4 linked regions of the Cricetulus griseus genome follow. The protein of the gene in region 2 purifies or fractionates together with the protein of the main gene of each other region. This does not show direct contact. Links are inferred from orthologs where the notes say so. Each region holds a gene or a part of one and is shown on either strand. Other genes may lie near its edges.

Region 1 (4,226 bases), on a different chromosome or scaffold from region 2:
CTATTTAGACTGCCTAAAAATACTGTCAATTCTACCAAAACATAAGGCAAAAATCTTAGCCAATTCTTCAAAAAGAGGTTTTAAAAAATATCTGTTGCAAGTACAAAATAGCAAATGTCAACGATAGGGCAAGTCACATGTTCAGGCAAAACTGGCATTTTTAAAGTCTAACACCCAAGTTTCTACCAAAATTCTACACAACTAGCTCATGTCATAATGAATGAGAGTATCAACAGGACTTTAAAATAAATGTAAATCTTATTTTAGTTTCAACACTTAGAGCAGCACTGGAATGTCTGTTCTGAGATGCTCTGCTTGACAAATCTGAAGCACTAGAGATCTGACACTGCATCTTTGTCTCTCTCCATTTGTATGAAGCTGTAAGTTAGCAAATGTACTTTAGGTCTTCATTATATAAAACACTGCAATAAGCAGAGCCTGTGCTTTCCTTTTGCTTTGTTTTTTAAGAAGTATATTCAAGCACCATCAAAATAATAATTTAGGATGCAATTTTCCTAAGTGTTTCTGGGGCTTTAAATAGCTCATTCTCTAATATGACTCCAAAGAGAAAAAGCAGGAATCTTTTCGTTTAAGACCAGAATACAATCCTTTTCCAACTTGGGAGAACAAGAACAGGAAATTAAATTATGACCCAAATATTTCCACGTTTTTGCAAATAAAATTATGAGTAAATTGCTTAAAATATAGTGCTTTATATTTTATTTCTAAATATGGATTCACTGCTAATGTCCATTAATCAAAGGTAATTGAAAATAAATTCAAAAATTGCCAGAAATATAAACTACATTCAACTGTGACAGAATTAGCATTTTAAAATATTTTTCAAATGTTTTATGTGACATAAAAACCCCATAAAATTAAACTAATAACGACTTTTTTGAAACCGAGAAAGCCTTGTAGTAAAGTATTTTAAATATCAAAGGCAGATTCTTTACTTCAAATGAATTTAGGTTCTACAGATCGTATGTAATAAACAAAGGAAGTTTCATGGAATTGTGACCAGAATACATTCGAATTTCTTGGGTAGCAAACCTCTTTTCTGACTCAACAAAGCTATTGTTCAAGGGAAAACATGACCCACTAATAAGAAACTGTCAACCCTACTACAGTCTAAGCCCACATTTCTCGTGGGCATTTTATTTCGATCATCCAGTTGTATCATCTCTTCCACACTGAACCCCTGGAGATTCGGGGAATAATCGCTGAGTAAATGACAGTTGGTTTCGTTAGCACCTGTCGCCATTCTCAAAAGCAAACAAGTTGGCCTAAACAGCCCCTTTTTTAAACAACAACAGAAAAAAAAAAGATTACTCTTCTTTAGAAAGTGGAACTCACGAAACGCCCACCAAGTTTGGAGAAAGAAAGCCCGTGCTTTCTCAGTTTCTCCCATTTCCCAAAAAGTCGCCCCGCGCGCGGCACAGCCTGTGGTGCGCGCAGGGGGCGATGCACCGTGAGGCGAGCCCTCCGCGCCGGGGCCACCGAGAGCCCCGGGCGCAGCTCCACTGTCCCCAGGGAACTTAGCACAAAGCCAGGCGAGGAGGCTCCCCGCGGCTCTCGGGGAAATGTCAGCCTCGGGGCTGAGGGAGGTCCCACCTCGCTGGCGCTCGCAGTCCCGAAGCGCAGCGGCGGTGCCGGGTGCCGAGAGCTGCTCGCCCGCCCGCCCGCCCCCACCCCGCGCCCAGCCCAGCCCGGCCGGCCCGGCCCGCCCCGAAAGGCGAGCCCTGCCCACTCGCGCTCGCCTCGCGCCTCCCCACGCCCCCACCCGCGCGGCGGGAGCCCCGGGGGTCGCGCCCTCCCCTCCGCTCCGCTCCGGAGACACAGTCCGTCCTTTGTCTGAGTGCGGACTCCGCTCGGTCCCACCAACTTGTGTGTGGTGTCCCGTCCCGCCCGCCCGCCACACAAAGGAGACTTGAGGCTCGCAGCTGCCGGTCCCGATCGGCCACAGGAACGCCCCGGGCCCCGGCCCCGACGCGGGCCCCAGCCGGCCGGGCGGGATCGGTCTCCCGGACAGGAGCCCCCGCCACCGGCCCCGCCCGCCCGTGCGCTCGATCTCCAGGGACCCGCACAGGACACTCGCGGGACCGCGTGGACCGGCCCGCACCTCACGGCCCCCTCGGAAAGGTTCCGTCGCCCTCCCCGCCGGCCCCGCGCCGACAAAAGCGGCGCCCGAGGGAGCCCCGTTCGGGCGATGCCGGAGACCGGCCGGGCACCCGCGCCGAGGTCCGCGCGTCGCCGCCGCCGCCGCCGCCGCCCCGGGGCGCCGCGTTTCGGAGCCCGCACTGCCCACCGCCGGTCGCGAGCGCTACCTTCGCCCGCGCCGCCCCACGCGCCGCTCCCGCGCGCCGCTCCCGCGCGCCGCCCCCACGCGCCGCCGCCACTCCGCTGCCTTCGATGTCCCACTGGGTGTCGGACGCGACCGGACCGAGCGCCAAACGCAGCAGCCCAATCGCCATCGCTTTTATTAGCGCAATCAAGCGCCGCCCCGATTGGCGGACGCCGGAGTGCGCCCGTCCAATCAGAGCGCCCGACGCGCTGAGAGCCTTGCGCGCGGGCGCGAGTGGCGGGCGCTCGCTCGCTCGCTCGGAGGAGGAGGAGGCGGCGGAGGGAGGAGGAGGAGGAGAGCGGCTTGCGCGGTGGAAGGCGCCCCCCGGTCGCCGTCTTTGTTCTGGTGCCGGCGTCGGGTACCTGTCGGGGGCGCCGCGGGCAGGCCGGGGCCCGGCACTCGGCAGGCCTCGAAGCCCGCTGTGATGAGAGGAGGCGGGGAGGCCGCGGTGGCGGGAACCGGCCGGAGGGCGGGCCTGCCCTTGGCGGGAACCGCTCTCCAGAGGGGGAGGGGGAGGGGAGGGAGGGGGGGCGGGCGAGCGAGCGGGCGGGCGCCAGAGCCAAGTTTGAAATAGTTCAAATCTGGGGGAGGTGACAGTTGTAACCGCCATCTCTGGTGTGCACATCCTGGCTGGGCCCCGGGGCCCCTCGCTCGCACAGGAAGACGCGTGGCGGACCCCACGGGGCAGAGAAAGCGCGGTTCCTTTCGGCGTCTTTGGCTCGCAGAACCGGCTGGCGCCAAGAGTCCCGGCCGCGTCAGAAAAAAGCAACAGGACGGTGACTTCGGGTTTCTCCTGAACAAGCCGTGTTTGTGGTTTGCTCAGCTTTGTCCGGCTCCAGGTTGTTTATTAACAACTTCGGAGAGCAGATCGCCTACCCCCTGCTGTCGCGGGAAAGTGTGTAAGGAAGATTGCAACGTTTGTCAAGGGTTAGAAAACCACCTTGGGAGTCCCTCTGTCTCAACCAAGAGGAGTTAGGAATGTGCTTAGTATACACTCTTAACCCCTGTTGCGTTATCTGGCAGCTGGAGTGAAAGAAACTTCGAATTTGCTTCGTTTGTGTAGCCCTGGCTGGCCTCCAACTAGTTCTGGAGACCAGGCTGGCCCTCCAACACACAGAGATCCGCCTGCCTCTGCCTCCCGAGTGCTGGAATTCAAGGCGTGCTCTACCAGCGCCCGGCCGAATTCACTTTTAATAATATGTGTCTGTATGGCAAAATCCCATAGACCCGTAAAAACAGATTCAATAATGAAGAGTTAAGACTGAGAATTTGTAACACTGGAAATTGAGTTATGTATCTGTCGTGGTTCTCTAGAGGATCAGAACTGATAAAATGAATATATATGTATGTGTGTGTGTGTAGATGAAGATGGAGATATATGAGAATTGCTTACAGCCTGTGGACCAACTAGTCCAACAATTGCTGTCCACCAACAGAAAACCAAGAATCCAGTATTAGTTCATTCCACAAACCTGGATGTCTTTGACTGGTCTTTAATATACTGCCAGTGAGAGAATGGATTTGCCACCTGGAGCTAAAACAAGTAGGTTTAACTTCCCACCTCAAAAGATCCAGATTAAAAACAAATGATTTAATTAAAAAAATCCCTGAAGGGTACACCCAGCCTCTTTGAGTTTTAGTTAATTCCTGATATAGTCAAGTTGACCACCGAGAATAGCAGCAAAGCATCTAGTCCTTCATGTGTACTGAAACTATCCAATGCTGAGAAGTATGCTTAGAATCTCTAAGATTGAGAGAAAATGCAATTATGTCCAAATACAAACAAAATATGTACACCCAGAGTGCATGTGACAAATGCTAGCAGTCATACCAAACAATCATCAGTATATTAACCTGCCCTGGTAAAAATGCTTCTATCAAA
Region 2 (2,324 bases):
CAATGGAATAATTAGAAAAAGTATCTAACACCATGCATGGGTTTGAATCATGTTTAATATCCTATCCTAGAAACATTCTACAAATCTTAAGATTTAAAAAATTAAGTCTCTCCTCTGATTTTTAAAAGATATCTTTTTATGACAACATCCATAACATTGACAAGTACATGTTAAGGCTAGTATCATCTCCTTCTGTGAATTTTTTTGAGTTTTCTGCTTGTTTGTTTTTTTAAGAAAGATAGTAAAGCCCACACTCTTTTAGGGCTTTGAACCACAGAATGTGAGTGCAGTGAACATTATGTTCAGTCCTGCGGTCAGGATGCAGTGGCTCCTTCCCATTCCACGAGGTACTGCACCTTTCCATCAAGGGTCACCCGACGAGCCAAAACTCGGTACTTCTCACCACATGCTATTCTACCTGCAGCACCAAAGTAACTAGTGATAGAGTTTTTCAGGTGATTGAGTTGCAGCTCCTGATCGGCTAAGTTATTCAGGATTTCTGTGTTAATTTCTTCAAACTGATAATCTTCTTTGCCTTCATCATCTTTTACAACTTCTGAGTTCTGAGTCTGGAGTGTTCTTCTTGGAAGGCGACCTCTTCTTCTCCGCAAATGTGGTATTGCAGCAGGCCAAGATCTTCCTGTGCGAGTTCTTTTCCTAGAGTCAGATAATCTAGGGTGGGGAAAAAAAAAACATGTCTCTAAGATGTTTTCTTAATCAGAGTTTAGAATCTTTGTACCTGAAAAGGGCTGTGTGTGTTGATTCAAATGTTTAAAATATAAAACCATCCTAAAGCAAGGTACACTTGTATAATGCAAACACCAAAGTTCTTAACAGGAGCCAGGTGTGGCAATACACTTTCAGTCCCAGAACTGTGGAGACAGAGGCAGGCAAATCTCTGGGAGGCCAGCCTGCTTTACATAGTGAGTTCCAAAACAGCCAGAGCTACATGGAAATCTGCCCCCGTCCTCGTTCCCCATCCCCCCCCACACACACAAAAGGTGGTTGGGGGCAACAGAAAGGTGTACAGCTTACTATATACAATGGCCAGAGCACATATCTCTATACACAAATCTGGTTGGACTGGGTTGCAAATCAAAGCATGGCTCAGTGAATAAAGACACCTGAGAACCTGAATTCAACCCCGAGAACCAATAAGATGAAAGGAGAGCATCGACTACTTCATGACCTCTATGCACACATGCTTGTGCATACCCACATCCAAAATAAATCAATGGGGGGGGTTTTTTGCGAGATCTCGAGAACGTGCGTGCGCACACACACTCGCACGTCTGTATTTGGATGGGGAGGGGGACATCAACACAGGTTTCTCTGTGTAGCCTTGTCTGTACTAGAACTCACCCTGTAGACCAGGTCGGCCTCAAACTCACAGATCTGCCTGCCTCTGCCTCTTGAGTGCTGGGATTAAAGGCGCTCAAGTATTAAAGGTGCGCCTCTACCATCTGGGGCATCTCTATTTTTATTTTGAAATAACAAGCAAACTTTTTTAAAGGGTTAGTAAGCTAAGGAAACCAAATTAGGAAACTCATAAGACTCAGAAAGCATAGAAAGTTCCAAGACTCCCCCTTCAGTTATAAGAACAGGGGGAATGCACTGGGGAGGAACTCTTTTTGGAACTATCTACAAGTTATGCAGGGACTTCCAGGGACAGAGCTTTTATGAGTTGTCAACTCACGGCTTCTCAGTGACACAGCTGCCTTTTTTTATTTTTTATTTTTTTAAGGCTCACATAGAAGGTTTAGAAGAGGAGAGAGAAGGGGCAGAGGGAGGTGTCGGGGTGTCAGGCGGAGGAAGAGAGTGACACAGCTGCAAGTCACCCCCAAATAATACATCACTGTCTCACAAAGCTTTTAGAAAAAAAATTAATTTAATTAAAAAACAAAACACAAAACCTACCCCAGGCAATGGTGGTACAAAATTTTAATTCCAGCACTCAAGGCAGAGGCAAGGAGTTCCAATGTTTGAGTTTCAAGGCCAGCCTGGTCTACAGAAAGAATCACAAACCCTGTCTCTAAATAAACGGATAGATGGATGGGTGGGTGGATTTTAAGGGCCAGAATAAGAACATAAAACACCTACCCATAATGCCTGGAAATGCTAGATGAGGTAGTTTCTTTTGCACTGGAAGCACCCGTGAGGTCCACATCTGAGGTATTGGATGAATGTGCAATTCCCTCAGTTCTCCTGAGACAAAAGAATTTAAATGGTATAACAACTATATTACATAACAATATAAAAATACTAATTCCCTCATAAAGAAAATTCCTAAGAGAGAAAAAAATTAACTATTTACCCTATAGAAC
Region 3 (3,567 bases), about 110 Mb from region 2:
TGCCAGGAACAGAACCCAGGTTTTCTGCTTTTGACCACTTAGCCATCTCTTCAGGCCCTAACATACTGATTTTTAATTTTAATTATGTGTGTATATCTGTGGGTGACTATGTGCACCTGAGTGCAAGAGCCCTTGGAAGCCAAAAGGTGGCATCAGATCCCTTGGAGCTAAAGCTGTTATTTCCTTCTAAGCTGCCTGATATGGGTGCTGGGAACCCAGAGTTTTCTACAAGCACTTTTACCCATTCCAGCTCCTTCTACGAGATAGTCTAACTCCTCAGCTAAGTATGGTGGCACACGTCAATAATCCCAGTACTCTAGAGGCAGAGGCAGGTAGATCTCTGTGAATTTAAGGCCACCCAGGACTGCATAGTGAAACCCTGTCTCAAAACAAAACAAAAAATAACAACAAAATAAACTCTAGCTAGTATGTTGAAATAAAGGCTCTTTACCCAGCTCAATTAATATTTGTGGGGGAAAAATGTGTTCTAAAGAACTCTAGCTGGAGTGAGTATAGACAGAGTAGAGTATAAACAGAGTAGAGTCATAGGTGCAACCCCTAGAACCACAACCACTCAGTCTTCAGCTATTACACAAACATGAGGAATTCTCTATATGGGTCCGCTGTGGTGGCACATGCCCGTAATTCCAGAAGCTGAGAGGTAGGGGCAGGAGGATGAGGAGTTCAAGGTTAGGCCTGGGTTATCAAAAATTCTCAAAATCCCAAAAGACTTCGCTGTGTATATTCTTTTTCTTTTCTTCAAACTTTTACAAAAATTCTATGTATTTAGTGGGTGTGTACAGAGATGTAGACACACCCTGCCATTCACGTGTGTGGAGATAAGAGGACAGACAACGCAGGAAGCAGTTCTCTCTGTCCATCATGTGGTTCCAGGGATCTAAGCCAGGCTTCCTGGCAAGTTTGTTTTGCTGCCTTTACCTGCTGAACCACCTCACCAGCCCTCCTTCTTTTTTCTCTTTCCCCCTCTTCCCCCTCTTGTGAGGCAGGGTTTTAGTCTAGGTCCAAGTGATTCACCTGCCTTTCTTGCAATGCTAGAGATATGTATGTATGTAGGTAGGTAGGTAGGTAACACTGCATCCAGATAAACAAATCTGCAGGTGATAGCGGTTGTGGAAACATGATTTCATTAGTAGCACAGGTTGGCCTTGAACTCTGATCCTCCTGCCTCAGACTCCCAGAGTAGAATTCCAGACCTAGTTAGTTACATACTACCATGCTCAACCCATATAACCTTTTTTTCCCACTTTTATTTTTATTTATTTATATGTATGTGTATGCCAAGTGTGTGCGGATGCCCGAGGACAGAAGTGTCAGGTGTCTCCTTGAACTGAAATTACACATGGTTGTGAGCTGCCTACCACGGATGCGGGGAACCAAACTCAGGTCCTTTGGAAGAGCAGAAAGTGCTTTTAACCACTGAGCCACCTCTCCAGCCCTAACACTTTTTAAAAACAACATCCTAAAGAAAGAGGAGACTGTGAATGCATCGTAGGAAAAACTCCTGTTTCTCAGTTCTCCCTAAAAGGAGAAGATGGGAGAAGCATCATATCTAGTTCCTATTTCCAGACTCCCCACCTGACTTTCACAGCTGGGAAAAGTGGCACATCCCTGTAACCTCAGCTATCTAAGCTGTGGAGAAAGGAAAACTGCTTGAAAATATAGAGAGTGGGGAGGGGAGAAAGGGGAAGAGTTGGGAGAGCAAGGAGAGACTTTGAGAGCCCAGGAGTTGGGGTGCTTTTATACAGTAGAACAGGGGTTAGAGTGATGGCTTATCAGCATGGGGAACTGGCTGCTCTTCCAGAGGACCTGGGATTGATTCCCAGCACCCACACAGTGGCTCACACTGTCTGTGACTCTAGTTCCAAGAGATCTGACTCCCTTTTCTGACTTCCTTGGACAACAGGTATGCCCACAATGCAGACATACATGTAGGCAAAACGCTCATATACATAAAACAATAAAATAATGTTTTAAAATTAAAAATAGACTAACCAACCCCCACAACTTTTCAGTGGCTCACACCTTCCTGCCCTGTAGGATGCCTGAACCATAGCAAAGGGATATCAAAGGTCTACAGGCAGCTATGGGGCAGAAGGGAGCCTGGAGACTCCAAGGCCAACCACTTTGGTAGACGATGGTGAAAGCAGGGTGCTCTTACAGTCTGGGCTGCACTGGCAGAACTTCTCACAGAAATTCTGGGTCATGATGCAGGGGCAGGTGCTGTCACAGGGACGGTCTGGGTGGTCACAGGGTTGGTAGTTATACACCTGTGTAGAAGAGTTATCTAGAAGAGAATAGAGAAGGACACTGCTATGACCAGGCTCCCTTGATGCCCTACTCTCCAAATGTTCCAGTGCCCCAAGTCAAAGTAAGCTTGTCCTAATCATGACTTTAGACACACTTAGCACCTGATAAAGTAGCTGACCCCTGTACATAAACATGTGAGATATCTGCTTTGTGGGTAGGGTGTGGAGAAGGCCAGAGATAACAAGGCAGCTACTCTAAACATGAAAAGAGGTCTGGCACTGGCAAACAGCACACTAGGAAACTTAAGAGACCACAAGGCCTTAAGTTTATCTCCTGAGAGGGCATCTTAGCTGTAGCCACTGGCTCAGCCCTTGAGACGCTGCAAAGAAATCTGCAATCTGCAGAAGCAGCCAGGGTCAACAAGAGAGCTATAGGTGTGGCAGGGTGAAAACCACAGGGTGAGGCTTCAGTCTGAACTGTGTGTACCTGTGTATGTGAGCGCATGTGCGCATGTGCCTAGGATGGAGCCTATAATCTTGAACACGCTAAGAACACACTCTACTCTAAGTGGGGGCCTTTCTCCCACTGAACTCACCTTTCTTCAGCTGAATTTTCCTGCAGTGTGCGGCCCACAACCTAGGAGAGAGAGACGGGATAGGTCTGAATCCCGATCCTCTGTAGATGCAGACAAATGACAGTGTGCCCTGCTCTGAGGGACAGTTTGACAACTTTGAGGTACCCTTCCAGAGTTCCTTAGAAGGAGGCACCTACTTTGGTCGGCTGAATCTAGAGCCTGTCTAACAAAGCAAAAACTCACAAACTTGTCTCTTATCACACTATTGCTCCTTCCTTTTCCTTCCTATTGCTCCTTCCTTTTCCTTCGTTCTCTTTGCCAGAGCTCTAAGGTGGGAAAGTCTTTCAGTGAGGAAACTGACAGGAAAGAGACAGAACAGCTTTTGTATCTGGAGCTAGAGCCACCTCCCTTCCCTGGCTACCAATACACATCAGGGAATCTGGCTGTCTGTCAGAGTGATAGTTTTATTTTCAGACAGGGTCTCACTATGTAGCCCTGCCTGGCCTGACACTATGTAGAACAGACTGGCATTGAACTCACAGAGGCCCATCTGCCTCTGCCTCTGCCTCTTGAGTACTGGGATTAACCATGTCTAGCTACTAAACTTTCTTCAACTTCCAATCCATATACACAGTTATGTGATTCTGAAAAACAACACATATAAATATCTAGATAAAAAAAAAAAAGGAACAAACTCCTGAGAGGTGATAAGTGGGGAAGAGAGT
Region 4 (4,033 bases), on a different chromosome or scaffold from region 2:
CCCGGCCCCGGCCCCGGCCCAGCCCGCCGCGGGCCCCGCTCACCCCTCCCGGCCCGCGCTGCGTCCGGAGCTCGGCGTGAGCACGGACTCGGCTCCCGCAACGGCAACTCGTGCTCTGCCTCGCGCCTCCACCGGCGGCCACATCGGCTTGCGGCCAGATGCCCGGACTCGCCAGGATCCGCTGGCCACGAGCAACAACAAAAAAGCCTACCGCACAGTACTCTCCAACTTATCAAGGTCCGGGATAGGGTGGAGGGTTCTTGTCCAAGTTCTACCTCATCTCCTTTGTGGCTACATCAGAAACAGACATGTTCTGGGAAGGCGGACTCTCCAAGGCAAGGCTCTGCCCAAGCAGTTTCTACACACTGAGTTTAAACTAGTCCTTAGCGATCTACCCAGCCCTCTGCAATGCGGATGTATTTTAATTCTTAAATTCCTTATGGAGCAGCTTTGTAAGTTGAGCTTCATTATTTAATCTCGCGTTTCTTTCATAGTTAAGTTTACGTGTCTAGATTAGAATCAGCTCTCCGGAAGAGGAATTCAGGTTTTCTCCATTAAATATATTTTTTACAGAGGCACTGCCCCGAAGGTCATCTCCCATTATACACTCCACACAGAAAGGGAAAAATACTAACACCAAATTATCGACTCTAGTTATATAAAACTTTCTTATAGGATCGCATTGTTCTTTATGTGTATCTTCGAGGGCCTTTTTTCGGGGGGGGGGGGGAGATGAGTTATTTGCTCTAAGCATATGCAGCTAACCACCGGATCACTCGAGTGCATATTTGGTTAATCCCCTGGTTCCCTTCTTTGCTCCCTCCCCCCAAAACTTTACCAAAAAAAGAAAAAAAGGGCCACTACACAAAACAAAAACACTCCTTATGCCGAGCAAAACGTTGCTATACTATGCACAAAACAAATTTAACTATTACAACCCAATTTCAGAAACCCAATTAACAAGAATAAATTTGTAGTGACCACAAATGCATTCACTCACACACATATATACTTAAAAACATTAGCTCTGTTTTTGCCCTAAACCCAGAAACCATGAATTCTTTTTAAACAAAACCAAAATCAGCCTCATTACTAAAGTCAATACCAATAAATGCAGTCCCTGTAACATGATTCCCAACTGAGTTATGTTGCAAACTAGATAAGCCAAAATGACCACATATATTAAATGGATGTGCCAGTGCAAGAAGCTCGCTCTAATCGGACCCAGGATTGCAACTTAAAGGGTTTCCAACACACACACCTTACACGATTTTCCAAATAACACCAAGAACAGGCTCATTTGTATGCAAAGTGCAGTATGGGGCCAAATCCGCCCGAGAATGCAGTTTAGTTATATTACCACAGGCACCCACACACAGAGCCCCAACCTCCACCAAAATCACTTGCCTTTCATCTAAAACTACATTAATGTTGTGTCATTCCAGGTCAATTTATTCACTTGAGGTATCTCTACACCAGTCTGTTTTCTCAACCAAACTAGGCAGACACGACTTTGCCTGAAAAGCTCTTTGGGAAAAGAAAGAAACAGCCTTATCGGACGCTATGTTTAAAACACTTGAGCTGCAGAATTATCTATAAACTTGACATTCACAACCATTGCTCACAACTGCAAGCCAAAGGATGTGTTATTAGGAGCACTTACGTATTTCTTCTGAATGATATTCCTCTTGGGTCTTTCTTTGCTCATTCTGAGATCGAAATGCTGATTGCAGAAGGAAACAATTGCTTCATGAATTTAAAGCCGTCAGAAATTTGCAAAAAAATATCCTGGTGGTTTTTATTGTTGGTGGTGGTGGTTGATCTTGTAATCCGACTTTTCTTCCTCTTCCCCCAAAGCCAGATTCGCCTTGAAATAAATCCGAAATTGAGAAGGATAAAAGAAAAAATAAAAAAGCCAAAGACGAACGAAGCAAACAAGAAAAATTCACTTTAGTAAAACACTCATAATGGAAAATTTTCCCCGAAACACACAAAACAGAGACACAAAAAAAAGAAAAAAGAAAAAAAAAAACCGACGCCCTTCACTCCCCCCCTTTTTCTTCCAAAAACTACATCAGCGAAACGTGAAGGTCCTTAGTGTCTGATCTGTAGTTACATCTTGGAAAAGAAAAAGGAAGGATAAATTTAAAATGTTGGAAGTCACGTTTGTGCTGCAGCAGCAGTGCGAGCAGAAGAGTCAACTCCAGCGGCGGCGGCGGCGGCGGCAGCACCACAGCGGAGGGCTCGCCGAGTCTCTTTTTTCCAAGCCCCCTAACCAATGAGAGACAGGCTATCCAGCCCAACTTTAAATGGACTCTGCTTTTATACAAGTTAGGGCTCCTCGGCTAATTCCCCGCCGCTCGCCAGCCGAAAACTCCCACAGCTGAGCCCCCGCACGCTTGCTTACCCTTTGCCCACCAGCCCTGGCCCCGTGCACAAGAAACCCCCAGCCCCGTCGACCAGACCCGGGAGAGGCCTCCGCGACTCCTTCGCGGACCGCCCGTCAGGCGCCTCTCCCACTCCTACCCCAAGCACGGAATTGAGAGAGGCTCCCTAGACTCAATGCATGGCACGCTCGGTCGCTCCACCTCAGCCCCTTCCCCCCCTCCCCGCAGTCCGCTCACCCCACGGCCGGCCGCCACATGCAAACCCTCGCCGCTGCCCTCACGTCTACCTGCAGCCGGGCAGCTGGGTACCAGTGCCCCAGGACGCCCGGCCCGGGGGAGAGCCGCCTATTCCCGGGGCACCTTAGAACAGTCCCCTTGATCTTCTGGAAGTTGTAGTCCCTTGACTACAAAATGGCTATGGCCACGGGAGCTAGGAACTACAATTCCCAGCGTGCTCCGCACCGCCTGTCACTCAACTCCCTTCCCTGATCTGCCCCCCCCTCCCCCTTCGCCGGCCCTGCCAACAAACGCTTGGACGTGTCCCGCGTGCGACACTGCTAGAGGCTGGCTCGGGATTGGCCCGCGGAGCGTGTGGTCCGCGAGCGAGGAACTCCCCACGCCGGCCCGCCCCCAGTCCCCTCCCCGCAGGCGGCCGGCCAGGCCCGCGCGCCCCGCCCCCACCCGGGGCGCGAACCGCCTGTGGAATCGAGGAATCGCTCGCGCGCGCCGGCGCGCGGGGGCGCGAGGGGCGCGGGCGCGGGGGCGCGGGCCGCGAGGGGAAAGCCGCCAGGCTTCCCCGAGGAAGGCCTCGGAGCGTGGCGGCGCGGGGGGCGGTGTCAGCGAGGGGTTGGAGCGGGTCCTAAGCAAAACTGGGCCACGCACCAAGAGGAATCCTCGGTGCGAACTCGCTGATCGGCGGCGCCTGCTGCTTCTGCCGTGGCAGGCGGTGTCACCTCAGGACAGCGCCTCGCGCCCGTGTGCGGAGGGAGCGGGCGGGCGGGCGAGCGGGCGAGCCAGCGGCGCGCGGCCGGGGTGGTCCGAGGTCACGGCTTTGCCGCCGGCCCGTGGCCACTCGCGACCCCACGCGCGAGGCGGAGGGCAGGGCGACCTCCGGACCGGGCACGCGGCCCCGCGGTCGCCAGCCCGCGAGCCTCCGCCCGGCGCGACACTAGGCCGTCGCTGGTGGCTCGGAGGTGAAGCCCCAGCTGTCTGTGAAGACGGTTAAGGGGGTCTTTACCCTGAGGACTAGGGCTGTCCGCGAGTAAGACTGAAACGCTGAGGTGAAAAAAAAAAAAAAAAAAAAGACCCAGCGGAATACGGAGCCCGAGCGACACACACGCAGACCGCAAGGAAGCGTCTCGAACACCGAGTGCCCGAAATACCAACGGTCTGTGCCCCACAGCCTTACCTGCCCCAGCCCCTGCCCAGGCTCGTCAGTCGCTCAGATCAATGGATCGCAGGCCCTGCTGTCGCTCTCTGGGGCTTTCGCACTCGCAGTAACTTTATCAAGTCTCCCGGCGTCTGCGTTAATTTCCTGGTCTTTACTTGGGGTCTTAGAGGTCCTCTTTTTCAAATCTGCCAGGTTAGCGTCAGTCAAACGAAAACGCTGGCCCCTCCCCGGTCCACCTGCAGACACACCTTTTCAT

Evidence for each region.
Region 1: the proteins of Mtf2 (region 2) and Ezh2 purify together in Homo sapiens (affinity purification with mass spectrometry; 10 studies listed by BioGRID and IntAct, with this or other methods). This does not show direct contact. The link is inferred for Cricetulus griseus from reciprocal best matches to the Homo sapiens genes MTF2 and EZH2.
Region 3: the proteins of Mtf2 (region 2) and Ezh1 purify together in Homo sapiens (affinity purification with mass spectrometry; 3 studies listed by BioGRID and IntAct, with this or other methods). This does not show direct contact. The link is inferred for Cricetulus griseus from reciprocal best matches to the Homo sapiens genes MTF2 and EZH1.
Region 4: the proteins of Mtf2 (region 2) and Jarid2 purify together in Homo sapiens (affinity purification with mass spectrometry; 3 studies listed by BioGRID and IntAct, with this or other methods). This does not show direct contact. The link is inferred for Cricetulus griseus from reciprocal best matches to the Homo sapiens genes MTF2 and JARID2.

Annotation. Positions count from the first base shown.
Region 1 is NW_023276806.1:222,346,771-222,350,996, reverse strand, and holds the start of Ezh2 (histone-lysine N-methyltransferase EZH2), read right to left. Parts: upstream 2,802-4,226; 5' UTR 2,707-2,801; intron 1-2,706. UniProt on the Homo sapiens protein: Polycomb group (PcG) protein. Catalytic subunit of the PRC2/EED-EZH2 complex, which methylates 'Lys-9' (H3K9me) and 'Lys-27' (H3K27me) of histone H3, leading to transcriptional repression of the affected target gene.
Region 2 is NC_048600.1:2,858,870-2,861,193, reverse strand, and holds part of Mtf2 (metal-response element-binding transcription factor 2), read right to left. Parts: coding exon 2,315-2,324; intron 2,206-2,314; coding exon 2,101-2,205; intron 673-2,100; coding exon 315-672; 3' UTR 1-314. UniProt on the Homo sapiens protein: Polycomb group (PcG) protein that specifically binds histone H3 trimethylated at 'Lys-36' (H3K36me3) and recruits the PRC2 complex, thus enhancing PRC2 H3K27me3 methylation activity.
Region 3 is NC_048600.1:114,246,837-114,250,403, forward strand, and holds part of Ezh1 (histone-lysine N-methyltransferase EZH1), read right to left. Parts: intron 2,905-3,567; coding exon 2,864-2,904; intron 2,306-2,863; coding exon 2,180-2,305; intron 1-2,179.
Region 4 is NC_048596.1:264,432,501-264,436,533, reverse strand, and holds the start of Jarid2 (protein Jumonji), read right to left. Parts: upstream 2,823-4,033; 5' UTR 2,675-2,822; exon of another isoform or gene 2,625-2,674; intron 2,277-2,624; exon of another isoform or gene 1,868-2,276; 5' UTR 1,709-1,867; coding exon 1,664-1,708; intron 1-1,663.